Linked DNA regions of Schizosaccharomyces pombe. Changing the gene in region 1 together with any one later gene gives a genetic interaction. Each region holds a gene or a part of one and is shown in the gene's direction. Other genes may lie near its edges.

Region 1 (7,827 bases):
TTGGATTTTTGATCGCTAATTTTTTATTAGCTATGTCGCTAAATTTAAGGCAAGTCGGCAGTATGCCGCGTGATTGAGGAAGAACGAAGAGAGAGGCTAAGCATTTGTTCCTAGTCTAAAGAGCTATCGATTGATTTTGAAGTGATACAATGTATGCTAACGTTTGTACCATAGACAGCTATAGTAATGAACTTTGTTATGTGAAGAAGTACAGTTGCTACGACAGTAATGATGATGATGTATGTATATAAAAACCAAACCAAGGTTTAATTTAGGTGGTTATAGTATTGTATACGCAAAACTATTCATTTGTGTGCACTCGTAATGAATTTCTAGTAATTGTATTTTGCAGTTAAAAGTTTAATGGATGCGTAAACAAAGGAACAGGTAAGCTAGTAAAGCGCATACAAAAATTGTAATATCGAAGGAAAACGTCAATTTAGATTAGTGTAGGATGGTTATTACGAAAGGATAGAGTTACTATGAAAAGTGAGTACAGATTGTATGATTAAGTATGGGGGCGATAGCTGGGTGTGAGGCAAAGGAATCATATGACTTTAGAATTATCGCATCAAGGAGTAAGAAAAACGAAAACTTATCTCACAGTGGATTGCCCAAAATTATCAATCCCCCACCATGTAAGAGGAAACAAGAGAAACAGAGAGAGGGAGAAAGAAATAATTAGAAACTAGCAAATATACTTTACAGATTACAAATGGACACGATAAGTAAGTTAAGATGAAATAAAGGGGAAGATAACAAGGAACGGAATATAAAAGAGCATTTCGAACCGAATGAAACATTTTAAGCCGAATGTATTGAAATCGAAATATTTGAATTGAGAGATTTTTATTTTATCTGACTAATGATGAGAAAGGATAGAAGAGAACAAATAGAATAGAAATAGAACTAAAGATAAAAAATATGAGAACCAAAATAGCAAAACAAAAAAAGCTAAATACTAGGTAATTAATAAAAAAAAATTTAAAAAAGGATTTCTAGTAAGCGTACTACTAAAACAAGTTTAAGGATTTGATGAAAGATTGTATGTTAGAAAAATTTTCATCCTCTTTTTTTTTTTTTTTTTCTTCAAACTTCATACAAACGTAAATATCTCTCAAATTTTGCAATACCGTCCTCTTCTTCCTCGTCGATTTAGATCCGAAATTCTCCTTGGCAGCAGGGGACGGAAAATGAAATAAAGTGTTTTAGCAATTGGGATCGCGAAACCACCTGCTAGAAAGTGTTTAGGAAGAGAGTCGCCGTTCGAAACATAGCGATAACGAGTTCAAGAGCAGTATCCGTAAATTCAGAGGATTAGTGAGTGCCAACACTTCTTATAGATTACGGATAGTAAGCAGTAGTAGATGAAGGATGATGGATAGGTGGATGATCGGGGTGGGAGAAAGTAGGGAGACAGAAGGAAAATGGAATGTAGCTAACTGATAATGAAGAGAGAGAGAGAAAGATTATTTCGTAGATAAAATTTGGTGAGCTTTGACAAGATAAGTTTTGTTGGAAAAATTATGAAAGTATGCAAGAGTGTGAAGAGTAAACAAAAAAGAAAAAGAGACGTTATAAGAGGAAGGATGAGTTTGATGATCTTTTAATATCTAACGAACATAAAAAACTAATGAATGTAATAATTAATAAATGAAGCAAACTAGCGAATGCAACACCACCTATTGATTGCTTTATTTATTTATTTTTTTGCTTGACAAATACCCTTTGGATTTACTCACTATCCATCTTATCCACCGTAGGGGCCATAGTAGACTCGCCTTTCGGCAGCCTTAAAAACGCTACCCTATGTTTCGGGTTTAGGGTGTGAATACGCTATCCATCTAAGGGTCCGTTCGTTTATCACACCCAAATCTTGATGTCGAGGATCTCAGTCTTCAACGTCACCATCTGAAAATTTACTCTTGTTGGGTTGTTTCGCCCGACAAGACTAGACCTAGCAATGACAAGCAAAGTAGAGAAAGTAAAGTAAAGAAAACAATAGAAAAGAAATCAACAAAAAAGCAAGAGTAGAAAAGAGTATTAGCCGTTTCTAAGATTTTGAGCAGCGACTCTCTACAATGTTTACACTGTTTACATTGTAGGAATAGTCGCTTGCAATGAATAGCTGCATCGCTACTAGAACTATTGCATGTGAAACAGTAAATACCAGACTAGAAAGATGAGAAGACCACTAGAGAAGAAGGACTAGAGGAGAAAAGGGACTAGAGGAAAAAAGGAACTAGAGAAAAAGGACCAGAGAAAAAATGATTAGATGAGTAAGTGAGTTAGAAAAAAAACAATTAACCACAAAAAAAAATAAATAAAAAATAAAAATAAAACAATCAAGAGCATGCCTTATTTGTCAGCAACCTTCCTTTATTAGACAGCGTCAACACATCTCAATACAAAATCTTCATCTCACTTCCTCCTATACTTCAACACAGCATCTTCCACCTTGTCTTTTTGCTTGCCCCGCTGCCGCCCTTCAAGCTCGTCGGTACTTGTTCTCATATTCGGTTTTACCTCGGATGCTGTTACCTCGATACCAGGTTGGGTCACCTAATTTTCTTGCAAAAGTCCGTTATCCCAAGTTGTCCCAAGTTGTTCGGTCTTGCTAATTAAGGGGATCATCACCCTATCTTGACCCGTTTAACGCAAGATAACACAGAATCTTTAAGACTAAAAATTGATGCCAACTTGATATAAAACGTGCTTCGTTCGCTCTTTTTTCTCTTCCAGCTCGCCTCTTCAAGCACTTGATCCAATTACGACACGAGAAGAAGGATAGGAACCAGCGTAACTGGGAACAACTAGCAACTATTACGAGCAATATCTTTTAAAGTCCTTAGACACTCTTGTTTACTCACTGCTATCCCATACTCATACTGCTGCTTGCCCAGTACTATTTGTTACTGAAGAGTGTTGTTGATATTGCCATTCCTACCGCTACTACAACCACCACAGTACCACCACCGCTTTTTTTACGCATCCTTTCCCCATCTCAAACGTACGGGATAATTCTCTCAAAGCGTGGAATCAAACCCTTTGTTTTAATTGTTTTTTACTCGTTCACCTGCTATTTGGTGGGCTGTCTGACTTTTGTTTTCTCATTGGCTAGTTGGATTGTTGGACAAGGTTGTCTTATCATTGCATCGATATACCTCATTTCCACCCGTTGATTGATCAACCCTTGTAAACTTAGCCTTTGTTTGCTATAGAAACGGCTTAGTCACTTGTCGTTCTTATTTTGGAAATCGTTCTGTCTTTTCCCTATATCGCCTACTTCACGTTACTGTTAGTTTTGATTGAGCGAAGCAGTTTTAACGATACGAATCAAATTGAATTGAATTTTTTTATTCACAATCCCAATCATCGTCTTATTTTTTTTTAAACCACCATCAATCTTCCTTCTTACAATCCAAGTGGTTTTGCTTTAACTTGGACTTTGTGGTTATTATTGGTTTTTTGTATTTATAATAATTTTAGGATTTCGGGTTTACCTTTTTTTGTTGATATAATATATATCTTTTTACTTAGAAAAAGAAAAGAAAGGAATATATACATTTCCAAAGTGTGAATTACTTGGTTTCCCTCTCTTTACTTGTTTTTGTTGCTACTACTACTACTACTACTTTTGTTGTTCAATTGGTCTTGTCGTCGTTTCTCGGTCTTTCATTTTTACTCAGCATCTTTTTAATTGTCTTTTTTTGGTGACATTTCCTCTCACCTGTACTATCTGCCCCGTTAGCCTATACTATTCGTGTTTAACGTTTTAAATTTTTTCCTTCATTGCATTTGTTGAAGTGCAGTTTATTTGAAGAAAAATTATTTTTGGCTTTGCTTTTTTTTCGCAATCGTCTCTTTCTTTTCAGCTTTAACGTTGTATAAATTAGATTAAACCTTTAAAAAGAGAGAAAAATAGATACCTAAAGACCTTTTGCTTGGCTTGTTTTATTATTTTCACAAAAAAGTTTTTAATATTTTTTTTATCTTTTCTGGTTTTTTTATTCTTATTTTTTATCTTTTCTAATCTTTTTTTTAAACTCTTTGACTTTAACATGGCTCTTAATAGTCAACCCCCTTTGTCCCCCAAACCCGTTCCCTCCAATACCTGGAAGCGGATCGGCATCGATGCATTTGCCGCTACAGCCGCCAGTGCCATGATTTCTCCCTTTATCTTGACGATCGACCGCTCAATCGTCGAAAATACTAGTGGCCGTTCTACTTTATTACGCTCTGTTAGTCGCTCCATCAAATATGTTTTATCAAAGCCAGGCGCCTTCTTTTTTAGCGCTCCCTTTGCCCTGGTCTTTACATTATACTCGGGCACATATATGACGGCCAATTCCATAGACACACTGGATAACATTCGTCACAAGAATCCCGTCTTCAAGGCGGAAACTTCCGGCTGGTTTAAATTCTGTTCTGTCACCGCTGCAAACAGCGGTTTATCCATCTTGAAGGATAGTTTCTTTACCAAATTTTGGGGCACCGGTTCTCCTCGTCCTCTCCCTTGGTCTTGTTACGGTCTTTATGGACTTCGTGATGCACTCACCATCGCCTTTTCCTTCAACATACCTCCTATGATTGCTCCATTACTCCCCGGTGGTTTAATCACCGCTCAATTGCTCACCCCCTGTGCCGTACAGTTTATTAGCACACCTCTTCATCTCCTGTCCCTTGACATTTATAACAGAGGTGGACCTAACATATCAGCAGCCAACCGCGTTATGCAAGTTCGTAAGCATTTACTAAAAAGCACATTCGCCCGTATGGTTAGGATTCTTCCGGCTTTTGGTATTGGCGGTGTTACTAATCGTAAATTACGAACCACTTATTTGGATTCGCTTCAACAACGTACTATGAAAAAACAACAATTTGCTCTTGCTTAGTCCATACATGACGTTCTTTCCTTTTTCTTTCGGCTATTATTATTATTATTATTTTATTATTATTATTTTTCATCATTTTTTTATTATTCACTACTGAATAGTGTCTAAAAAGTGTGTGGACTACGGTTTAAACCTATATAAGGAAAGTGGCATACATCCTGTTATCTGGAACATGAAGCTGCATACTTTTTTGAATGAACTATATAGTGTATGTGTAATGAAGGTTTCACTTAAAAAAGTTTTCTACTTGATTTTTATGCGTCTGAGTTTTTTCTTTGTCTGGAGAAGAATTTGAAGAAAAAAGAAAAACTGCAAGAGAAAATAAAGAGGCAAAGAGACACATGGTTTTCTTTTGTACATTAATAAATAAAATTTGAATTCTATTTTAAGTCATTTTCGTTTGTGTTTAGTATGGTTGAGTATCAAATTTGTGTATGTCAAAAAACGAGCAACCGTAAAGACCGCTTGTTTAGCAAATTTATTCTTTTATCGTTCGTTTACAAACAGCTTTTGCCGATAGTGTTTTACGGTCTTTGAATGGGCTTTCGGTAGAAACCTAAAACCGATAAACAGAGTGAGATTATTTCTTTTTGCATTCCAATGTTGACCAGAAAGACGATAGCTTATTCCTATCTACTAGCTTACTGAATGGTTCAAAATGTACCGTACTACGGTAGCCATATTAATTGGTTCGTCAAAATAAATCCTAAAGTGTATAGCAACGGTTTTTTCAAAGCTCACCTACTTTTTACTGATCGTCATTATAATTAGTAAAACAATAAACACCTACTAGTAGAATCGCCGATTTACCATAATTTCGTATTGCGCTTAATTCTCTTCCCGAGGTATTTTGTTATTGCGATGGCTTGCCACAATAAATTAACTATTGTACGATTGCCGTCACACTATTTCTATCTAAAAATACTCTCATTCCCATTCCCATTTTTATCTCTCCATCCATACTTACTACATATGTTGGATATCTATATCTGTCAAACTTTAACTTCGTTGAACATGCTAATTAACCAAAATTAATACATGAATTTATTAAATAGTTTTTTATTAATTAATAGAAATTTTCAAAAAGTAATCATTGAAAAATCGAACTATATTTTTTTTTTTTATATTATAGCAGTATATAGGTGCAGGAGTTACCAGCGACCAGGTATTAGCGTTTGCCAAAACAATTAGCTTTTCTCCCGAAAGGATTGCTTTTTGAAGTCAATTACTTTAGAAGCTTTCTAGCATCTATTTGATTGTTCAATTGGCATGGTTATTGTGCTCATCATATAAAGCGCAGTTGTTTCATTAATTAAGTATCTTAGCCTACATACTTCATCTTGATTTTTATAGATTCTTTAGAGTATTTGGATAAATACTTGACTTTTTGTTTAAGAGGCTATAGAAACCCTTGTTTGAGTTTCTTCATTTTTATTGTCTCGCGCTTTAGTGTATCTGCTTCAAAGTGGTTCAAGCTAAAAAAGCATAGTACTGTTTCGCTCTTTATTTCGCATCTGCCTATCATCAGACAATTCTGTTGACTCACTCGTTTTTTACACGCACATTTACCCTTGGAATAAAAGGCGGATTAAATCCCGAAGTTGAACACTCGTAAAATTTGGTTATTATATTTTTTGCATTATGAAGACTTATGAATATGTATTGCTGGTCATTATTTTGATCCTTAGCTTGTGTTACTTTATTTATAACAATTTTCTCAACAAGCCAAAGGCTCCTGAGAGGCGAGTCGTGGCTACCGACAGTATTGTCGAGTTGATGGAGGCCGAAAAGCTCACTGCCGCGGTTTTCTTTGGATCTCAAACTGGTACCGCTGAGGACTTTGCCTACCGTTTTTCAACGGAAGCAAAGGCAAACTTCAATCTTACCAATATGGTTTTCGATCTTGAGAACTATGATTTAACCGACTTGGACAACTTTGATAGATCAAAACTATTGGTATTCTTTCTCGCAACTTACGGTGAAGGTGAACCTACGGACAATGCGGAGGCCTTTTTGCAACTTCTTGAGGGCGATGATACCGTTTTTTCAAGTGGAAAAGGCATTGAAGATACTCCCTTCGAAGGAATTCGTTATGCAATTTTTGGCCTTGGAAATCATACCTATGAGTATTATAACGCAATGGCTAAAAAGGTAGATGCTGCAATGACTCGTTTAGGCGCTACTCGTGTGGGCAATCTAGGTTTGGGCGACGATGCCGCTGGTATGCTTGAAGAGGACTATTTACAATGGAAGGATGATACTTTACCTGAGATAGGTAAGCTGTTCCATTTGCAAGAAGTCCACAAGGAATACAATCCTATGTTTGAAGTTATTGAGAAGCCTGAAATTTCCAACACTAGTTCTACTGTCTTTTTGGGAGAACCAAGTCGTCAGCAATTGAAAGGAAATGTTGCATCGAAAGCTCCACGTTCTCAAGCTAATCCATTTTTCTCTTCTCCTGTCAGATCTCTTGAGCTATTCAAATCTGGAAGTCGTAATTGCTTACATTTAGAGTTGGATATCGCAGACTCTGGTATGCGATATCAAACAGGTGATTACGCTTCTATTTGTCCTATGAATCCTAGTCAAGCTGTTGATGATCTTCTCGAAGTTCTCGGTCTCAAAGAGAAGAGGGATACTGTAATAATTGTTAAACCTATCGATACTCTCGATAAGGCTCCTGTTTTAAGTCCTACTACCTATGACACTGTTTTTCGCTACTACTATGAAATATGTGGTATCGTCTCCAGGCAACTGCTTTCTTTTATTGCTCCTTTCGCTCCTACACCAGAATCTAAGCAAGAACTCGAGAAATTAGGCAACGATTATGACTACTTTAAGAAGAACGTTGTAGACTTGCACCTAAACCTTGCTCAAGTCCTTCGTCGTGTTTCTCCTGACGCTCCATTTACAAAACTTCCATTCTCAATGC
Region 2 (6,594 bases), on another chromosome or scaffold:
GCATTATCGGAATCCTCAATGAACCATGGAACTCCTGATGATAGCATTCTACTTGACTTAGTAAGTCGTTCAGACAATAAAGATTTATATCAAGATTCTCTCGATGTTCGAGATAATTTTTCAAACTTATCTAGTGATGAAATTCCCCAAAGCAGTTCCTATGAACAAACTCGCAAGCCATTCTTTCATCATTTTAACCCGTTCGAGTTTTTAGAAGCCACAAGTCCATTGCAACAAAATGGCAAATCTAGAGATACGGAGAAGCCTCCTTCAATGAAAGAAAAGGATTTGTCTTCAAATAGCAGTTCGCAGCATGATAAAGCCTTTCATGAAAGGGTTGACCAGGGGAAAAATAAATCGTCAACCACTAAATATCAAGAATTTCGAACTGTCGCTGATTATCGAGAATTTTCTCCTGGACAATCAGTCAATTCATTGAAGCCAAATTCTGGTGATGAAGTTCCATCAACCAAATCCTCAACGTCTTCTGAAATGCATACTCAACTATTGAAGGATGAGCAAAAGAAAATTTTAACACCCGCACCTGATGTGCCTCATGATGTTTACTGTATTGAACCCTCTTTGGGTCGAGTTTTTTCTTTTCCGGCTTCATTCGTTGCATCTCCTTTGCTTTTAGAAGATTGCAATAAAATAGCATCTTGTGATCTTCCTTATAGTACATTTTATGCTAACTCACAAGTTATTGATAAATTTTCTGAATATTTTGCATACGTGGATCAGGATCCTTGCCATATTCGCGTACTGAACGCCAATACCGATCAATCGCTCATACTTTATACGCAATCTGATGTTAAAAATCTACATTTTGGCAAAAATAAGCATACAAAGCCCCATCTTTTGGTAATGGACGCTCTCTCTAATCTGTATGTTTGGAAAATTTTACAGAAGCGATCTGAAATTTCAGTTTCACTTTTGTTTACCATCCGTCGTGCCAATTATGGTATTTGTGATTGGATTCCTAATTCTTCAAATATGTTTTCTATGATTGTAAAGAATTCTTTATATATTGTGGATATATCAAATATTCGTTCCAATAATATTAGCCCTAAAGTTTATGCAAAAGATTTTAATGGATTACAAGCTGCCAAGGTTGATTTACCTGGGCCGATTAACTCATACACCATCTCTTCTGACCGTTCTGTTGTTGCAATATTAGTGAATTCTCAAATTTTTTTCTATTCATTTCCAGTTTCTAATTTATTTTCTACTAATCCTTCACACCGAGGTAACTGGGCGGCTATCGCGACAATGAGCCTTCAGCTTCCGAGTACAGCAAATTCTATTTCTTTTCTTTCATCTCCACCGAACAATAATGATATCATTGATAAAGTTATTTGTGTCTCCTATGCTAATAATACTATATTAGGTTTATTTGATTTTGGGTTATGTGCTTTTACTCAAGAAATTGAGTTTTCAAATGAAAAAGAGAAATCACCTATTCAGCAATTACTTACTTTCAATAATTCAAACATGATTGTTGCAAAAAGGAATCAGCTTTTGGATATCTTTATTTATTCACCTTCTGATTTATCCAATGTGGGTGTATTATCTAACACTGCAGCTTTGATCTCTGCTGTTTCCAAAGGCAAGCGTTTTGGAGATTCTGGTTATATTAATAAAGTAATATCGAATGAGGTGGTGGATCATAGCATTGTTTTTGTCACCTTAATTGGCTGTGATAGTTCCAAACTTGAACTAATTTTGGCACTAAGTTCTGGATATTTTCAGTTCTGCATAGAAAGCGATTCCAAATTTGACGAGGGCACTTCTTTGGAATATCCTAATTCTGACAAGCGAATTTTAGCTAGGGCATCATTAACTTCGGGATTAAAGTCTAATAACACGCTAAGGGCTTTGAGTCAAGATTTAAAAAATTGTGCAAAATCTAAGGATGATTCCACAACACAAAATCTTACAGAGTCTTTGGGATCAGTTTGTTATCCCTCCATGCCATTCTTCAATCAATACGTTCCTCAAAATCCTAATGAGGTTAGAGAAAATATCTCTTCAGTCATGAAAAGTAGAATCCACGCAAAATTTGAAAGCTTGCATAGTCGAGTGGAATTGGTTGTTAAGAACTCTTACATGAAATTGTTGGAGCAGACTATTTCAGAAGCTGCAACCGATGAAATTTCTGATCTTTTCAAATTGATACATTCAAAACCTTTTCTTCTTGAGGTAGGATTCCTAGAAACTGGATTTTTGGCAAACGACTTGGAAAACTTAACATCCACTTATAGAAGCAGTAATAGGCAGTTGTGCGATTTTTCAAACCGCATAGGAAACATTAACCAAAAGCTTGAAAAACTCTTAATGATTGAGCGATTAGAAACTAGCGATCAAAGTCCAACATCCTCTTCTAATTTTGAAGAATCTGAGTCATTTGCAGTATCGAAAAAAGTTTTGGAATTGGTTCGCATTTCTAAGAATAAAGAGGCGTTAATTTGCTTCACGAAGGATCCCTCTATTGAAGCATTCCGGTCATTACAAGATGTGCCTGATTATTCACTAGATGATTGTTCTTCAATTCATCTTTTAGCATTTATTCATGTTCTTTCCAAGTTAATCATAAAAGAGGAACAGCTATCATTTTCTCGTCTTCAACTATTATCGCGAGCTACTTCACGTCTTCGGACTATGACATTATCAGTATTTAACAACAGCGGCACATTAACTCCTGAGCTGTTCTCCTCCGTTGTGCGCATTGTTCTTAAAAACGTGAGGGAATTTGTGCTAATTGGTAACTCTAGTATACAGAAGTCGAAGCACGAATTTTTAATTACGACGCTCCAAGCACTGTTAAGAGAAGTCGATATTTTTCTCAATACATAGAAAATGGAGGAATCTCTGAAACTAGCTTATGAGCGACAATAAGCTTAGCTGCAAGCACTAGTAATTTTGTCTTTTACGGCATTTTTTCCTTATAGGGGGCATTTAAGCTATTAACTATAAGTTAACAAATAAGGAATTTTATCGTGTTACCTTATTATACCGTTTGCCGCACACTGGTGCTTTTTTTTATTAATTTATATAGTTGTGTTGTCTTTTGAATACCTAAGTATTTGGCTACATACAACAGAGAAATGGTATAACGACAACATTTTAACAAAACCTTTTTTGTTTTTAATTTCTTTTGCTTACCATCAATCCCTGGGTTATGAGCGGACTACCATTTCATATTCCCGGTTATTATTACAATTCTGAAAAAAAGCGTTACTTTCGAATAATTAGCTCGGGGCAGTCTACTCCGTCCTCTAATATTTATACTAAGGAGAGGTTGAAAAGGGGGAAGCGTTTTAATAATATCAGTAAAGAACGAACCAAAGGAAAAGGAGGCAATCCCGTTTTCAACTTTTCAACTTATCTTTTTGATAGACAGTTTTCACAATATCCTTATTCTTGTAATGATGACAGAGATTATTTATGTGCAAAAAACCTAAAAAAAATAAATCTTCGGCAGCTTCCAGTTGGGACTGAGCTGCAAAAAATAGGTTGGCTTCGCGAAGTTAATACCATAATTTTAACTTCCAAAAACGGCGACATATTGGGGTGTTGTCTTACCCCTGAAGACAAATCTGGAGTTGCAAATGAAAAATATACTTCAGAAGGTTCAATTCAGGATTTTTCCTTGTCAAGGATAGGCCTCTCTAATAATCCCATTTCTTCTTTGGTATGTAACGCAATGCAAATTTTCTGGTCTACATCTCCTTCTCTGCAGAATGAGGGACAATTTCATATATCTACTTATAACCAGCTATTGGGTGAATCCAATAATTACCGTTGGGGATCTCTTAAACTTTTGAAAACCCCTTTATGTGCAGAAAGTATTGGAGAGATGGGCTTTGCAGTTGGTGGCACCTCAAAAATTGCAATAATTAATCGAGAGGGAAAATTAACGCAAAGTTTGCAATCTAAAGGAGACGTATTCAGTCTTAAATATTTGGGTGACAACTTAGTCATTGCTGGATGTCGAAATAAAAGTGTATTAGTGTATGATCTTCGGACGAAGAAAGAATGTGTACAGCGATTCTATCATGGATCTAGCATTTGTTCAATGCAAAACTTAGATTTTTCCCAACCGAAGCTTTTGGTTAGTGGTTTGGAATCTAAAATTTCTTTGTATGATTGCCGATTTCTGCAAAGTAAAAAAAGACCCCAGTCAATTATGTCTTATATGGGTCATTCTAATTTGCTTGAAAGAAATTTAGCTTTGATGAAAAATGAGAATGGAAGCATTTTTAGCAGTGCTGGTGATGATTATGTTTTACGTTTTTGGAAAACCGACTGTTCGTTACCATTCAAGGAAATGCGAGTTGACGATGGTAAATATTTATGTCGAGATGGGTCTTGGGTAAAAGCAATGAATGGTACCGGTTGGGTTCTACCGTATGGTCGAGGCTTACTTATTTACGAACCATGAGCATTTAACAAGGTGAAGAAAATTCTTTTTGGTAGCAATAGTATCTTTAGTCTTACGGATATATGTAATGCTTGTTTACTTTTCAATCTTTCAAAAAAGTTTAGGAGATTTCAATATTAATTAATAATTGTTGACGTAAAAGAAACTATGGAATAAATGTAGTAAATGCATACGCTTTCACTAGAGCGAATACAAAAAATAAAAATATAAAAGACAGATCCTCTAAGTATCATGTTTCATCACGAAATTAAACAGTTTTCGCTTTGCTTACGTGATTTCTGGGTATTGGATTTGTTACGACGAGGAGTGTTGGAAGCCTTTTTAGGAGTCTCCTTTTTTCCTCTTTCTTCTTCTTCTTTCGCTAGTCTCTTGGCATATTGTTCATCATCTTTAGCGCGTTTTTTTTTCTCCTCCTTTCTTTGATTCAAAACATAAACAGCAGGAATGAAGTTAGCTGCACAAAGTTCACCATTGCCTGTCTCAACTGTTTGCGAGTCAAAGGTTTCCCACACAACATCTTCACCTGTCCTTGCGTATCCACTATCTGTGACCAAAGTAAATTGTGCGAATGAATCTGGATTTGAATACATGGTACTGAAATGACTGGAACGAAAAACCACGACTATTTCCCCTGGACCTACAAGCTCAAGAATCTTTTTAAGACCAGCATTCGTCAAAAATTGCATTGTATAACGATTTTCCATAACTTTGTCAACACATGTAGCTATTTGAAGTGTTAGTTTGTAAAAAACATATAGCAAATTATAAGGCTAAAGTCTCTCAAGCAGTAAACTGAAGAAAGTATGCACGACAGATAAGTAAAAACTTACAATTATTTAAAAAATCTTGCTGCTGTTCAGTTAGTGGCTCCTGCATCTCTAATAGAGAACGACGTTCGGCAAATGTATCTGCAACTTTTTCATAATATTCAAGCTTTCGAAGGTAGCTTAAATCTTCGTCGCTCAAACCCATATCATCTGAAAGAATCCAACCATGAACTAATCGAACTCCAAATGTACAAAAGATTTCATGCCCATACTCAAACTTTTCAATATCATAGAGACAAGGATTCAATTGCTGACCGAAATGCATAGATGTCAGTTTATCCTGAAGACTTTGCTGATTTTTGCATAAGCCGTATGCTTTAGCAAACTCCACCAAGTATTCTGTCAGTTCATCGGGTGTGATGTATCTTTTCTTCGGCAATTCAAATGGTCGATCTACGTTTGACTTTAATATTAATGCATTGGACAAAGCAATTATAGGACACGGGCCATTAACTGAATACAAAGTAAGCAACTTAGAATTTGCGGAATAAAAGCTTGCAATTATGTTTAAAACGTTACAAGTCTTTATAAGGATTACCTGTTTGACATAGAATAATTCGTTTCTGGTATTCCCTTGAAAGGGGTTCTATGAAAGGAATAGTTCTTGTCTGGTAGGAATTAGAATGGTCCTCTTGCTTATGGTTCTGAGTTTCATTATTATGCTCTTGAGTATCAGGATCGTGTTCCTGAACATTATCCATGGCTTGGTAATTAACAGAACTTAGGTTTCTTAAAGAATTCCTTTTTGAAAATTTCAAATTTATATTCAAGGATTCCTAAATGTGTCATTTAAATTAACCTTATGAGTTAATTTAGAGACGTTGATCGTAAGTTGGGTAAGGATATAGCTTACACCACCATATCACAGTAAAACCAGTGTCAGTGCTAATGATAAAAGGTGTTTACTCAAAATAAATTTAGTTTTATGACAGGAGGATTTATAGTTTAAATGAAATCTTATATACTGAAATTGAACTTTTAGGATTGTGCTATATTTCGTATACATATTATTAGGTAATTGCAATTGGGGCCCAAGCTTTATACATTCAGTATTTGTAATAATTGCCTTTGTTAAGTTTTTAACAGCTATTTTGTAATCTTCAAATTTTGGATTCTATTTATAGTGAAGAAAGCAATGAAGTATATTAAAAAATCGACTTTAGTTGCAAAAAGTTAAAATTGAATTTATATTTTTAAAAATTAGTATATTAATTAAATTTCTTTTAAGTGTTGATGAACTCTTTTGCACTCATTTACTGTAATTATAAACTAGAAATGAGGTATTTGTAAAATTACAACTTCCTTTTATTAAGTTGTCAGAAACCC
Region 3 (7,903 bases), 740 kb from region 1:
GCGTCTTGGGCGGCTAACATAGCAGCGTAAGGAGAAGACTCATCACGATCAGTCTTGACCTTCATACCACCGGTGACACGAACAATGGTTTCCTTGCCGGTCAAATCAGTGATGTGAACGAATGTATCATTAAAGGAGGCGAAGATGTGAGCAACGCCGAAAACAAGCTCACCGGAACGGATTTGAGGGCCAACGTTAGTAGCCATTTTTCGTGGTTAGTTTTTGGTAACTGCGATATCTCTTTTGTTTTGGGCTTCTTCCTGTGTAAACTAAAGGAACAGTCACAAATTTGTGTCGAAACTTTTGTGACTGCTCATGGGAAAAGTTGACCACTAGTCTTTTCTTACCAACTTTACCACCAGACATCCACCATCATGGCTGTAGCATCGTCAACGGTCCCCTCAAAGGAGCAAATCTTTGCTCCTGAGTCTCTTTTGAAGAAGAAGAAGACCCAAGAGCAGTCTCGTGAACAGCGTGTTGCTGCCGCTGCCGAGAAGAAAGCTGTAAGTGTTTTGTCTATGGATATTTGTCTTTGGATGGATTGAATAAAGTACAGAAATCTTTTGAATGATGAAGAGTTTATCTATAAAGTACACTACAGATTGTGTTTTTTCATCTAGATAGAACCCTCCCACATTCATTTTGATCGGTTTGCAAGGGTTTTCACCTCCCAAAAATTAGTCAAACGCTTTAGCCTGTCATGGAATTTTTTATGATTGCTTTATTTTTATAAGCAATAATAAAGCAGATAATTGAGAAATATGAAAAACAAGATGATGACAACAAATTTCGGATAGCTAGCTTAGGCTGTGCGCGTTCCACAATTTACCATCTTTCGGGACTGATTACTGTTTTTCTACTTTTCTCTTTATTTATTTCTTTCCATCTAAATTACATCCATTCTAATTTCACAAAATTTCTACTGTATTAACTGTTATGTTTAGGCTCAACAAAAGAAGCGTGAGCTCATTGCAAAGCGCGCCGAATCTTACGATGCTGAGTACCGCAAGGCCGAACGTGAGCAAATCGAACTCGGTCGCAAGGCTCGTGCTGAGGGCAACTACTACGTCCCTGACGAAACCAAGTTGGTCTTTGTCATCCGTATTCGTGGTATCAACAACATTCCTCCCAAGGCCCGTAAGATCATGCAATTACTCCGTCTTATTCAAATCAACAACGGTGTCTTTGTTAAATTTAACAAGGCTACCAAAGAAATGCTTCAAGTCGTTGAACCTTATGTTACTTATGGTATTCCTAACCTCAAGACTGTTCGTGAGCTCCTTTACAAGCGTGGTTTTGGTAAGGTCAACAAACAACGCATTGCTCTTTCTGACAATGCTATCATCGAAGCTGCTTTGGGCAAGTACTCTATCTTGTCTATCGAGGATTTGATTCACGAAATTTACACCGTCGGTCCCAACTTCAAGCAAGCTGCCAACTTCATCTGGCCCTTCCAACTTTCTTCTCCCTTGGGTGGCTGGAGAGATCGCAAGTTCAAGCATTTCATCGAAGGTGGTGATGCTGGCAAGCGTGATGAGCATATTAACTCTCTCGTTAGAAAGATGCTTTAATTTGGTGTAGATGTTAAAAATAACCATATCTTTCCTAGCTTTGACAAAATAATTTACAACAAGTAGATTTAGTTGTTTTGGTCATTAGGTGTTATTAGTAAATTCATCGCTAGTAGTTACTTTCATTGTAATTAGCTTTGTTAACTCATTTTTGCAATCTTTTGTGTGCATATAGTAATTTTACCTCGTCAAACAGCACTTTTACTCAACGTTGTACATAAGACGATGGTTGAACTAATGATGTAGTGTCTTCATTCGTAACAACTCATATTTTATAACTTACTTCCTACTAACGCGGTTTTAATCCTAAACTTGAATAAACTAGTGGTTTGTTTAATGCAATTCATTAAAAGGACATTTCCGCGAAGGGCCTTTGTCGATTTGCTCCTAAACCGCTTCTGCTTGCGGGAATTTGCAACCACGTATAGTGTTTCAGTAAGTAATGCGCGGAAATTAGTACGAAAGCGCCTTTTAATCGCTGATGCTTTGAAATTCAAGGAGCAAGTCAACAATCTAAATGAGTTTCGAAATAAAAAAACTAAGTCATCCTTAATAAGAAACGATGGTTTCAAACTGGCTAAAAATGTATCTTCGTTACTTCAAAAAGAGTCTTTAGAGAAAGCATTGCATTTACTGTACGAGAGATCAAATGCCAAGAAGACGGTTGCCTATAACCTTGTACTACAATATCATTTAGCTAAAGGGCATTACAACGCTGCTTGGTCTTTGTACAATGATATGAAAAAGCGCCAACAAAAACCTAGCGATCATACATACTCCATTCTTCTAAAGGGATTTTGCGATGCTATTGAAAAGAATAAGCAAGGAAATTTTTCTAAACTACGTGAATATAGTGAAAAGGTAACAGCTAGTGCTCTCAAGGAGTCTAATAATGTCACATCCAATTTGCATCACATACGAATTATATCCAAGTGTAGTCTAAAGCTTAAAAGTATGGTATTGGTGTCAATGATTATTCCATCCATCAAACAAACATTGGATTTCTATAGTGGATCTCAAATTCTTCGACTTTTGAACGACTTTTCTATGTTCAATCCGGAACAACGTGAAGAAGTGTTAAAGATGGGGACGAATCTTTGGAATTATTTTGTCCTTGAATGCCAAAAGAAAGGAATAGCAGTTGATGAAAGTCTTATTTGTTCCTTTGTGAAACTTCTGGCTACTAGCAACTCGCCTCAAGTGAGAAACGTGGGGTTAAATATTCTTACAAAAGTGATGGGATTGGAATATCAGATTTTCGAAGATTCCAACTTGCGTTATCCTTTACCCCCATATTGCGATTGTACTTCAAGAAGTTTGGTTACAGCATTACAGGTCATTCGTCAAATACAAAACGGTGATTTGTTAGCAAGGTATTGGAAGTATTTTGAGGAAAGTCACAAATTTGATTTAAATCTTCAAGTATATCATGAGAAGCTACGTAACCTTGTTCAGCAGGGCCAAGCAGCTGAATGCTTAAATACCATTAAAAGGATGTCGCATAACGGTCCTTTCCCTACTCAGCAGACATTTTTGATTGTCTTATCATTATGCAAAAGGCCGAAATTTTATAGCTACACGAAAAGCTTCTTAGACTTGGCCAAGAAATTGAACGTCCCCGTTGAAGCAACCTAAAAATATCATCAAGTGTTTAATAATTCATCGATACCTTTTTATGTCATTTATAATTTTCTATTAATTTATAAGAAATGAATTCAAATAATCGTCATGTAATTTATTTATTTGTACATGTTTACCTTGTCCGTTTGAAACTGTAGAATGGAACCCTTATTATTTTAACGTCAATTTAGCAAACGTAATTTAAAATTGTTTGTTGAAAAGCCATGAATTAACTAAGAGTTATAATTATGTTTCTGTTGCATGCCACTGATTTAGCCTGAACTTCACCTAGACGTAGTATTAACTTAGGAACTACTGATTTTGGGCATAAAGAGCTATATACTCACTAAAAATGCAAGGATTTAATATGGGGAAATATATTCCCCCGGAAGGGCCGAATGCTAAAAGAAAATTTGATAAATTACGAAATGTAATTCGGTTTGAAATGCCATTTCCAGTGTGGTGCAACAATTGTGAAAATATCATTCAACAAGGCACTAGATTCAATGCTGTTAAAAAAGAGATTGGCTCATACTATACTACGAAAATATGGTCATTCAGCTTAAAATGTCATTTATGCTCAAACCCTATCGATGTACATACGGATCCTAAGGTACTGGTTTGATTAATTTAACAAATTTGTTACTGACATAAATAGAATACAGAATACATCGTTGCTTCTGGAGGCAGAAGGAAAATTGAACCTCAAGACATCAATGAACGTCCTGCAAAAGCTGAAAACGACGAAAAGGTGCCGTCTGATGCAATTGAAGCGCTGGAAACCCAATTAACTCAGCAAAAGTCAGAAAAGCATAATAGTTCTGTAATAAACTTTATATATGAGAAAAATGAAAGGCTTTGGTCGGATCCTTTCGTTTCTTCTCAGAGGCTGCGAAAACAGTTTCGGGTAAGAAGAATTTGTTTTGCGTTAAAATTTTCATATTAACTAACCCATAACTTAGGAAAGGAAAAAAATTGAAAAAAAGCAAGAAGCTAAAGATCTATCTCTCAAAAACCGTGCAGCGTTGGACATTGATATATTACCACCCTCTTCTTCTGACAAGGATAAGGCATTATTGTTGCTAGATAACGAATTAGGAAAGAATAAATTTATAAGGAAATTAGATTATAGAAGAACATTAATGCCCTCTTCTAGAACATTTTCGACTTTTGCAAAGTTTGCTGAGACTTCATTCGCAAAAAAAGATCCTTTTGCTCGAAAATTTGTCCCTTCCGAGAAGCTAAGGAGCGAGCAAAGGAAATTTCCTACAGAAAATTTAAAGGGAGAGAAAATCCTTGAAGATAATTCGGTTTCTCTCGTCAATTATGAAGTGAGTGATGATGAAGGATAATTATTTTGGTTAAATACGAAGACTTTAAAAGTATCTTCTATCAAAAGATTAACTACTTGTTATTCATTAAATTTTTATACAATATGGGTATCTAATGAAGCAAAAAAATATGGATGTCATGCAACCCAATTAATTACCGTGATGCTTCCTTTTGTACTTCCTTGGATCCTTCCTACTCATGCGAACGCGATCGCGCATTCCTTTTCCTCCCTCCCAGTAGGCACTGGTTTGTTTTTTCACAGTCATATTTCCACAATGGGGGCAAGTTGCATCCTTTTTGTAGAAAGATTCCATGGCACAGTACCCACATATTATTCGATTAGCATGCTCAAATGTATGATTTTGATCAGCGTCATGACATTCATCACATGGATAAACACGATCACAACATGAAAAACGAAACCCTGATTGTTAATTATGAATTTTATAAACGACTTACATCTGAATGATTTTTTGTAATGTTCGCAAGCACCATTATTGGGAAGTGGCAATCCTTTCGTAATGTTTAAGTTTTGTTTTTGCTTCTTTTTTGCGCTCACCTTCCCGCCCATTGAACTTTGTCGTTGTTTTAACAAATGAAATTCGGTATCTTGATGTTCAACCAAGATTCTGTTTTTGCATACTTTACAAAACTGTAGCATGGGCTGCATGGAAGAAATACCTTTAAAGGATGTTATCTGCTCATCAACACATTCCATACAAGAGACCTGACAGTCAATGGGCATCACGTCAACCGGTACACATCCTAAAGTATGGAGGATACCTAAACGGGCATTATTTGGGTGAATCACACCAGGCACCCAAACTAATCTTAGAGTATTACTACACTTATTGCAAACAAGAGAAAATTTTGTAGCAATAGAAATTTCACTTCCATAATGGCACCGAACACACTTTATGACCAAACGTAAAATTGGTGCTTTGAGAGTACCGACATTAGTTAAATGCGGATTCTTCCATTCTAAGCAGTATTCGTTACCCAGAAGCTCTGTGTCTTTGCTCTGAATGTCATGATCGTTACTGTAAGCATCCTGTGGTTCATTAACATTTTGTAGATCATCTTCTTTCCCATCGTTTCCTCCTTTTGAATAAATAATTTTTTTTGGCTTTTCATCATTGAATAACTGTTCAGAGCCAGAGATGGTAGTTTTTGTTTGGGTAGTATTCTGCTTTTGACAGTGATTTTGACCACGCAGTACTTCATAGTCAAGTGTAGTGTTCAAATGAACCCTCTCTGATAGAGGTCCTTCAAGCTTATTTGCCAACGGCTCTAAGTCAGTTGGGGTTTCTGGTTTCTTAGAATCGACTTGTTGAACCATCAACTCACGCTCTTTTGTATTGCATGTCTCAAATGATTTCCAATTTTGTAACAAATAATTAAATAAACTTGTCAAAGTTGTTTTCTGATTTTGAAATGCCGTTTCAACGTACTTATTCATTGCCGTTTGCATGAACTCTTGATTTTTTTCAAGTAATACCGATATTTGAAACGGTTTATCTTTATTTATAACTAAAGTAATCAATCCATGATCACTGGGCAAGGATAAGAAAATCTCATTTCTTGCCTCTCTGGTACTAGTTAATAAAGATGTTTACATTAACTAACCCACAGCTAACCTGCTTAGTACTTACATAACTTCCGGATTAAGCCTTCGCCGGAATACTTGTATCTGCAAGTCCCAATTTGAATCCTTCATAGCTTCAATTGAAACCATAATAACCAAAAAAGGCTATAGTCTTGTAGTATTTGGTTCAATTCAGGTTAAGTCGCCAACACAAATACTCGGTTCTTCCTCGGATGTCCGATGATTATTTCGACAGACTATTTGAATTAGCATTCGTTTATATTAATGAAGATGAAACGATTCAAAGCTGTTCCTTCAGAGGACAACGCTGGCTTGAAGAGGTATGTCTAATTTTTCCGTGCCGTTTATAGTAATGTGCTTCAATTACTAACAGTTTTGAGGCCCAAACTCTTGAACAAAAAAATTCATTACTCAAAGCATACTATTACTATTTAAAAGCACTAAAACTTGCTTACGAAATTCCATGCCGATTCGAGATTTCTGTTAAGTCTACTCATTATGGAGAATTCAAACAGTTCCAAAAGGTATCGACATTGTACATAGTATTTTTTTTAATGCTCAAAACACGAAAATTTTGTATTCAAAGCTCCCTAGCCTTCTCGTCAGATAAATTTGATATAGTTGACGAGACTGTACTAATTATGATCTTTGAAGCAAACTTAATTTATTTTTTGTTCAAGTTACAATCTTGAATACTAACATGTCCTTTTAGTTAGCAATTCAAGCCGTTTCCAAAGCCTTTACTATAAAAAGCAAATTAGCGGTGAAGCATTATTTGCCTGTAATTCAAATCTCTGACGCTCTTTCCCTATCAAAAAAATCATCACTTAAAGTTCTTTTTCTTAATTTCTATTCCCAAGAGTCTTCAAAGGGTTATGTTTTTTCGAAGCACACGATTGCCATCCCAATATCCTGTTTGCAATCGATGGATTCTTCAAAAATATATGACTTTTTAAAATCCGCACCTTTTCATCCAAGCATGGTTATTTGTTACAGTTTGGAAAGATACTTCGAAGACGTTTCTTTGGCTTACAAGCTTTACTCGATGTTACGTTCGTTGAAGTTGGATCCTCATTTCATGGAATTGGCGAACCCTAAGAAAGTTGATAGTTCTTTATCGTATGAAAATTATCAGCCTATAGGTTTAACGAATTTGGGTAATACTTGTTACATGAATTGTGTCCTGCAATGTCTTTTTGCGTGTAAGGACTTGACTATTCCTATGTTACAGGGGAGAGGATTGCTTCAAAATATCAATACCAAAAATCCATTGGGTACCGGTGGAAAAATCACATCTGCTTTCTTTTCCTTGCTTCAAAGTGTCTTATTAAACCATGGTCAGAGATCAATATCTCCAAGGAATTTTTTAGAAATTGTACAGTCATTGAATAGAGATTTCTCCATCGATGGCCAATGCGATGCTCAAGAATTTTTAAATTTCTTTCTTGATAAACTTCATGAAGATTTGAACTCCAATGCATCTCGGTCTCCGATAGCACCGTTGACGGAAGATCAATTAAGTGCCAGAGAAGAACTCCCATTGTCCCACTTTTCACACATTGAATGGAACTTGCATCTCCGGTCTAACAAGAGTATTGTGGTCAACAATTTTGTAGGTCAACTTTGCAGTCGTACTCAATGTATGACATGTGGCCGCACATCTACTACTTTTGCTCCCTTCACATCGCTTGCGATACCGATTGACGATGTCTCCCATGTAGTAAGCCTACAAGAATGCTTATTAAAATTTTCAGCTCCTGAACTCTTGCAAGGG
Region 4 (8,116 bases), 750 kb from region 1:
GAACGCTCACGGTTAGCATTGTCCTCGCGACGGAAGCTCTGAGTACGCTTGGCAAGTTTTTCCTCAACACGTTGAAGCACGGATGTATTGTCTACGGGCTTGGCACCACCGAAAGGATCTCTTTTAGGCTTGGAAGATGTAGTAGTGGTAGCAGAGGGAGTAGCTTCGGTGTTGACGTTGGAGGAGGAACGAGGTTTTAAGTTAAGACGAGGGCGCTCAGAGGATTCACGTGGAGGAAGGGGTCCACGACGAACCCATTCACGTGGCTCTTCACGAACACGATCGGAAGGATCACGAGCAGGATCACGGAAACGACCACTGTTGGTACGTCTCTTGCCAAACGGAGATTCAGCAGGTTCAGCAGGAGGAAGAGGTCCACGACGAACCCAGTCACCAGTAGAGCGTTCTTCACGGGCAAATGAACGACGAGGCTCTGCAACAGTGATGCGGACTGGACGTCCCATCAAATCCTCACCGGATAAGGCTAAAGCGGCGCTCAAGGTATCAGCGGTCTCAAATTCAACATATCCAAAGCCACGAGAGCGTTCAGTGAGAGGGTCAATGACGAGGCGAATGCTAGTGACACCTTCGCCGAAAAAGTCGCCCAAATCGTTTTCTGTTAAGTCAAAACTCAAGTTTCCAACATGAGCTGTAAAAGGGGGTTCAGAAGGGATGGGAATGGCATCACGTTGGTAACCACTTCCCATTCCACCCTCGCGACGGCTTTCGGGAGGACTTCTAACTGACTCAAACGTGGAAGAAGGAGCATTGTATCCGGCGTCAGCAGAGCTAGGAGTAGCACGATACGTAGATGTGGTGCGGTCTTGGGCTAATAGATAAATTGAGTTAGCTAAGCAATTTCAAAAGATTAAATAGAAAAATGATGGAGCCCAAAAATGAGAGCCGAAAATTAATAGAAATTTTCGGATTCCTAAAAAACACCCCACTCCAATTCAATCCAAAATTTTCCATTATAAAAAACAAAATACTTACGCAAAGCTGGCAAATCATCAATATCATCAGCCCAGTTAGTCGAACCAAACGACTCGTCACCCAAAAAGGCGTTCAAACTCATTTTCGTACTCTGATATCGTTCAGCAAACATGCCTAATTACCTAAACAAACCTTTTTCGGACCTATTATTAATAACTCATGATCAAAAACACAACTTGCCCATTATGAAATATTTTCTTTTAGATCTTCACTTTTTACTAACAAGATCGTTTTCTTCGTCGTTCTCGACAGATTTAATATTTGCGATTCTTGGCGCGCTGGTCCACAAGAGCGTAGCCCAGTGATGCCGTGACTGCTCAATAGTAGAACGACTGAAGCATTCCCGCCTGCTGTATTTGCTAAGGCGAGAAAAAGGGAGAATTGGGAGACGTCTCTATTCCTCACAGTCATGGATAATGAGGATTAAATCATTTCGGTAAATCAAGCATGGAGGAATTTTTGTGAATGTGAGCATTATAATCGCATAACGATAAGTAGCGTGTTGAGCAAAGAGGATTGGATGGAAGTAGTTTTTTTATTGTAAATAAATCAATGGAAAATTGGATATGGAACCATTGTAGCGTTTGCAATTTGATGGAAAGTCTTTTTTTTGGGATTATATACTTGTGATAGGAGAAAATGATTTTCCTTTTTTTTTTTTGAAAGAAGTCCGTATTTGATGTCAGCTTTCACAAATCTAATAATTCCTATAAAATAATAGTTTAAAAAAAAGTTCTTGAAGTTCAATCAGAAAACAGAGATTTGATTTTGCGATAAACCAAAAGCAAAGATTAAAATTGGCTTTACGATTTGTTCAACCATGGTTTGACATTGAAGTAAATCGCTATTGAAAAAACGTATCATTGATAAATGATAAATGATTTATTATTGAGCTCGATCAACAAAAAACGAGAACGTTATAGTCTCAAGGGATGAATGATGATCAGTTTTGTACACCATTGAATTTGTTTTTGAGAGTAATAAACTTAAACTTCTCAGCGAACTGGACTGTTTGGACAGTGTTTAGACTTCATTTTTTGCAGATTCCTTTTCTAATATGGAATTATAACAAAACAAAAACACATTGGCTTAATTATAGGGGAAAGGAAAAGGAAAAGGACGCGTGCTTGCACAGAAATGAATCGATGTTTTGGATACAAACGTAAACAAGACAATAAGGTGGTGAAGCAAAATTGCAAGGAATTTTTCTAATCTAAATACGGCGATTTTGAAATTCATTTCTATTCAGCTTATCATCCTTTTTTCATTCACTGACACAGTATTATCTTTTAACGTTGTATGACGAGATGCATTAGTCTATGCTTAACAAGTTGTGTAATATGAGAGACAAGACAAGAAGAATTGGGAATTCCAGAATATGTGCAATTGATAATATCTACACGATTTTTAAAAGATATATCAAGTTACGAAAGTTGATCCATTGTTGGTACATTTTAAGTTCCCGCATTAGAGTTAAAGGGCCGCCGCTTCTGCCAATGTTTATCATCAAAGGCTGGTTGGGATAGTAAGAGAAAATGAGGATGATACAGTTTTCAATTGATATTCGGATGTTTATTATTTTATTATTATTTTTTTAGACAATTGTCTTTGATCTATATTCAATGTGAGCTGAGAGCTGAGTGGAGAACGAAAAATTTCTGAAACAATAAAAAATCCATTAAAATATATTAAAATCATAATAATGTTAGAAAAAAAAAATCGAAAAAATTAATCAAAGGGTTTCATTGACTTGGAGCAAAGATAAAGGAAGAATTTGAAAAGAAAGTAAAATCTAATAAAAGAAACGTGTGAATTTGAAATTAAAATGGAATGGTCTTTCTTTTTTTCTTGGTGGGACGCAGTCATTTATTTAATTACCGACCAGCCCTTTTTAACAATTAGATAACAAAGAAAACCGATTTATTTCATTTTATATTTTTTATGTCACTTGTTTTTTTGTTCAAATTCACTCTTCTTATGATTTCTTTCTTCTCAAGGATTCTTTATGTTCATTTTCTTTTATTTACAAAGAAGCATCCGCATAAAGAGGTATTGTTTACAACAAACAAATGGTTGCCATCCAGGTTGCGAACCAATCTAAAAATTTCATTCAATTCCTTTATGCCATTTCTAAATTCAATTATATATTTTAAAAAGGAATTTATAATTTAAAAGATTCTATAAAAATCGTGGCTTTGAAGGATTTCCCAACATGCTGGTTTCATTAGCCCTACACCCCCAAAATGTCATATTGACGAAGATCGAATCCTTTATTTCTAATTTTTTTTCTAACCGCAGATAATGATGAAAAAAAGAAGAAAGTAACATTTATAATAGTCTTCTTTTAGTTATAATCAGATTTTCTGCTTCGATTTTATTAATTAATGGAAGTAAATTCAAAAAAATGGATTTATCTTACTATCGAGGGATTGTTCCCTAAAATGCGTTTCCCGCTACTGGCCAGTCGTTGTTACCTTCTTACTACGACTATGGGATTCTGAGTATATATAATTATGACATGAATTAAACAACGGAAATTTAACCATTTACACTGCTATTGCTTTTTTTACTTAAATTGTGTGTTTATAACAGGAATTGAAACACAAATTTTGTTCTCTTGGTGCAGTCTGCGTTTTAAATTTCTTTAGCGGCAAAAGCAAACAGTAGAGAGAGATTTTAATTCCAATTCAATTTGAGCAACAGCCACGCCTTTTCTGCTCAAAATTATTTTTTTGTTAAAAATTTTCTTTTTCTTTTTCTTTTTTATCCTTTATCTATTGATTTTCATCTTTGGTTTTACGAGTGGTATTTGCTGGTTCAAATTTTAAGTGCATATACCGATTGATTGATTGATTTGTTGATTATAGCTTCACTCCATTCTTCGTTGCATCCTTTTTAAGTTTCTTTTTTATTTCACAAAAAGTCTATGCCGAAGTTCTGCTCGTGTTTGGTATTTCATCTACAGCGTTTGTGTATAGCATTTCCCAAGCATTCGACTTTCTGCGAATAATTTCAAAATTTAATTATCTCCATTTTTTTTCCTATCCACCTTTAATCTCCCTTTTTACTCGAATTTCTTTTCTATCTTGCTCAATAAAAAAATATTCCCTCATCATTGATATTATTCGATTGCCCAATCTACTTTGCGTTTTTATATCCCTCCTATTTCGTTCTTCCCTATTCTTTAATTTCCTAATTCCGCTTTGTTTGCATTTTCAAGACCTCCCTATTTGAATTAATTTGGGTATTGTTTGGAAACTTTCATATAAAATAATACCTTAAAAAGAAGTTGCATTGGAGATGCGCGTTTTGGTTGCTGAGACCGGAAGAGAAGATAATGTGTCAGTACATTCTAGAGAAGTGTCTGTGAACGGCAGTGATTCTGGTACAGGCAATGATGCCTACAAACTAGAAACAGACGATGAACATCCGCCTGCCACCCCTGTACGTGGATTATCCACAAGATCTCAAAAAAGACCCTTCAGACCTTTAACAATTCAACAAGATGAAGATGTAGAAAACGACACTGGTATGAACACCGAATATAATGATGACAATTCTAGCTTAGTTAACACACCCCGAGACTCTACTACGTATGCCGAGACGAATTCACCAAACACGGAAAAATTGGCCGGAAGAGATGATGATCGATCTCTACTGAACTTGATTGATCGTGGTGAGATCGATAGTAAAAGACAGAGACATTACGTTCCCGTCCATTGTAAACGAATGCCCAAAAAGGAGATCACACTTAATCAAAAACTTTACGTTTCTCAAGTTATAGGTCCGGCTGATGCTCCAAAGTCAAAAACTATTTTTGGCAAGCGAATTATGCAATGGGAGCCTTCTCAATTTAAAGAATCTGTGTGGGCCTCCGAAATTAGCAAAAGTGGAAAATATCTGGCCACCGCTGGTAAAGATGCAATAATTCGTGTGTGGAAAGTAATTGAAACACCAGAAAGAAGAGAAACTTTACTCAAAGAAGGTCCTCAAAGTTGTGGTCGTTTCTTTACCCCTTCTAGCATTTTTGAACCTGAACCTGTCCTAGAATGTGTAGGTCACAACGCAGAAGTCCTTTCCATTTCATGGAGCAAAAATGATTTTTTATTAACTAGCTCTGCGGATAGAACCGTTAGGCTTTGGCATCCAAAATCAACCAAATCCTTGGCGGTTTTCAGGCACAATGAGATTGTTACATGTGTCGCATTTCACCCGATCGACGATCGTTATTTTGTTTCTGGTTCCCTTGATTGCAAAATTCAGTTATGGTCCATTTTACGCCATAAAATATTGCATTGGACGGAACTTGAATATGTCGTTTCTACTATTTGTTTTTATCCAGACGGTGAGTCGATCGTTGTGGGCATGTTCTACGGATTATGTGCAATATATGAAACTAAAAATTTACAATATGTGTCCTCATGGCTAATTCATCATTCTCCCTCAAGAAATAAAAAATGCCGAGTCACTGGATTACAGTGCGCATCTATCATTCCAAACGATTCAAAATCCGACAACGTTGTTTTAGTATCTACTAATGACAATGCTATCCGGTTATACAACACGGTCACTCACGCTTTAGTGTTGAAACTGAGTGATGCTCATCGTGTTAATGGCAGAGTACTTTCTCGTTTAAGTGAAGACAACAGTTATATCATTAGTGGAAGTGATACTAATGAAGTAGTTTTATGGCATATTCCCAACAAGGTACTCATCAATGCATCAAGAAAACGCTCTGTCATTCTCCATTTGCCCACGGAAACATTCAAGGTTTGTAGTGAGAGACTGACTTCGACCATCATTGCACCAGCAAGGACTGCTGTCGAAGCTAAAGAGTCGGAACATGATCGCAGTTTAATTGCAGAAGGATACAATCTAGTAAAACCTCATAGTCACAGATCATATGGAACACCTCCTGTACATCCGATTGATATAATAATTGCTACCAACATGGCAGGTATGACTATTGTCTTGTGTGTTGATTATGATTTGGGGAATTCCCATCATGGATTTAGAAACTCAAAATTTGGACACTTTGTGAAGCGTTTATTACGAACCTAATCTCGATTCAAAACTAATATTACTTTACCTTTTTTTATTTTGTTTAAGTCTTCTAAGTCATTCAGGTGTCATTTAAAATAGAGGACTCATTTTTTCCCCCTTTTAAATAATAGTTATGAAGTTTTTTTATGAAATTGTTTTTAATAATAGTATAATATAATATTCATTTTTTCGTGGTTTGTTAAGACACAAAAACAATTTTACGTCCAGAAAATTACTCCAGAATGTGCTGTAACTAATTGAGAGAAGCGTGGATTAAAGCGAACAATAGAAGGTGTTTCTGGTAAAAGGTTTTTAGATGTTGAAGAAGGAATGATAGCTAGCGGGTTCTCTGTTGAATGACTATTGCTGGTCGGAGTAGTTGATGCTAGGCCCATTTCGGTGAATGAATTAACAATGTGATCCGAGTTAACAGTTTGTTTCAGTTCTGGTAGTTGATACATGCAAAGATGCTCATTATCATATGAAGTAAAAAGAAATTTACTATCTGGAGACATGCAAGCTGAAGCATAATAAGTCAAATTTCCATCTTGGGTTTTTGTGCTAACCTTTGAAGGAACTCTTAATAATTCACTTCCACTATAAGCGTCTATAACGTAATGAAAATCATTTCCAGTTGTTAGCAATAGATATTTACCATCAGTACTGAATTCCACATTTGCAATGCGGACATGAGGGGGCAGGAATGTTAAAGGAATGTCTTGAAATGGGCGAGCATCAAATGATTTAATGTTATAAAGAGAAATTTTGTATTTTCTTTCACTAACTGAGGCAAAGATTAGTCCTGTAGCATCAAAAGCTGCAACAACGGGTGAACTAACATTGAGCAAACCCTACGTATTCCTAGTTAGTTTGATTATCAGTAATTGTTATACTCATACCTGGCAATTTGGAGACCGAAGGTCCCAAAGGCGAATAGTATTATCTAAAGAAGCGCTTAAAAAAGTTTCATCTGCTGGTGATACATCGATTGAAGTCACTGTTTGCTTATGGCCAGGAAAATATCGAAGATACCGATTTGTCACAACGTCTAAATAACGAACGGTATTGTCTTCCTTTGTGGAAGCATGTATTAATGAATTTGAATGATGAGTAAACCGACCTAAATGTGCTCCGTACTTTTTGCTTGCAAGTGATTTCACAAATCTAGAAGTTCATGGTCAGTTAGCCAAACAGGTTTCAAAAGTGAATTTAAGAAGTACTTACTTTCCAGAAATGCAGTTATACAGTTGTAAAGTATCATCAGTACACGACGCCAAGCACAACTCTCCACTGTCGTCAAAACTGAGAGAGGTAATTTCACCAACAAAATTCTGATTTTTCAGCCATTTTCTTGGTTGCATAGACGACAACAAGTCAAAAGTAATTGAAACTGTTGTCATTACTAAATAACGGTATGCTAAAAGGTGGGTTTCCTGAGAAAAATATATGGGTAAATAAGTTTTAAGTATGTATTTAGTGCGTATCTCCTATTAATATTCAGAATGGCTGATTACTGGAAAAGTATTCCAAAATATTATTGTAAATATTGCCAAATAGTAAGTTTTTTCTATAACATCCAAAAATTATTTCTAAAGTGGTGAAATTAATAGAATCCTACTAACAGTACAGTTCGTGAAAGATACACCATTTGCGCGACGGAGCCATGAGCAAACTTATAAACATCAGGATGCTATTAAAAAAGTAATGGATGATATTCATCGTTCCAACCTTTTAAGGCAGGAACTTGAGAAGAATTTATCTATACCAAAATCAGCTACTGCTACCACTGCTTCAGCGGTGTCATCTGAACTAGCATCGTATGAGAAACCAAAAAAGGAGCATCCAAAATTACGTCCCTCTAAAAAAAAAGCTACTTTGGATGATTGGGATATTCCTACAAGTTCTACGGAGACTGACACCATCTCTACTACTCATACCAGCTATATTCCTACATTGCTAGCAAAGCAAGAAGAAAATGAAGAAACCAAGGAAACAACTACTAATAAAAATGAGTCTCTACCAGGGACCTCTTTGAAAAGAAACAGAGAGATCATCGAAAAAGAAGAAAGATCTTCATTTC

The links.
Region 2: mutations in SPOM_SPBC365.16 (region 1) and wdr21 together harm fitness less than expected from each alone (positive genetic interaction), as found in Schizosaccharomyces pombe (one large-scale study listed by BioGRID).
Region 3: mutations in SPOM_SPBC365.16 (region 1) and saf4 together harm fitness more than expected from each alone (negative genetic interaction), as found in Schizosaccharomyces pombe (one large-scale study listed by BioGRID).
Region 4: mutations in SPOM_SPBC365.16 (region 1) and SPOM_SPBC18H10.05 together harm fitness more than expected from each alone (negative genetic interaction), as found in Schizosaccharomyces pombe (one large-scale study listed by BioGRID).

The regions. Positions count from the first base shown.
Region 1 is NC_003423.3:2,526,927-2,534,753, forward strand, and holds SPOM_SPBC365.16 (uncharacterized protein), read left to right. Parts: upstream 1-2,740; 5' UTR 2,741-4,061; coding exon 4,062-4,895; 3' UTR 4,896-5,288; downstream 5,289-7,827. Other genes in the region: ccr1 (NADPH-cytochrome p450 reductase), read left to right, coding at 6,537-7,827.
Region 2 is NC_003424.3:326,069-332,662, reverse strand, and holds wdr21 (WD-repeat family protein wdr21), read left to right. Parts: upstream 1-3,077; 5' UTR 3,078-3,178; coding exon 3,179-4,441; 3' UTR 4,442-4,467; downstream 4,468-6,594. Other genes in the region: protein eti1, read left to right, coding at 1-2,853; cysteine-type deubiquitinase Miy1, read right to left, coding at 4,681-5,165, 5,272-5,721, 5,807-5,969.
Region 3 is NC_003423.3:1,784,687-1,792,589, reverse strand, and holds saf4 (splicing-associated factor Saf4), read left to right. Parts: upstream 1-3,543; coding exon 3,544-3,804; exon of another isoform or gene 3,805-3,849; coding exon 3,850-4,098; exon of another isoform or gene 4,099-4,153; coding exon 4,154-4,543; 3' UTR 4,544-4,672; coding exon of another isoform or gene 4,673-4,947; 3' UTR 4,948-4,982; downstream 4,983-7,903. Other genes in the region: rps1402 (40S ribosomal protein uS11), read right to left, coding at 1-206; RNase MRP subunit, ribosomal protein L7-like Rpl701, read left to right, coding at 375-503, 945-1,571; PPR repeat-containing protein Ppr2, read left to right, coding at 1,908-3,206; SPOM_SPBC18H10.09 (zf-CHY type zinc finger protein), read right to left, coding at 4,673-4,947, 4,983-6,112, 6,176-6,258; ubiquitin hydrolase Ubp4, read left to right, coding at 6,342-6,449, 6,510-6,653, 6,842-7,903.
Region 4 is NC_003423.3:1,775,721-1,783,836, forward strand, and holds SPOM_SPBC18H10.05 (WD repeat-containing protein), read left to right. Parts: upstream 1-3,533; 5' UTR 3,534-4,293; coding exon 4,294-6,054; 3' UTR 6,055-6,254; downstream 6,255-8,116. Other genes in the region: sce3 (translation initiation factor), read right to left, coding at 1-829, 994-1,084, 1,126-1,136, 1,174-1,177; swd2 (Set1C complex subunit Swd2.1), read right to left, coding at 6,255-6,887, 6,936-7,200, 7,261-7,436; wbp4 (WW domain-binding protein 4), read left to right, coding at 7,539-7,592, 7,666-8,116.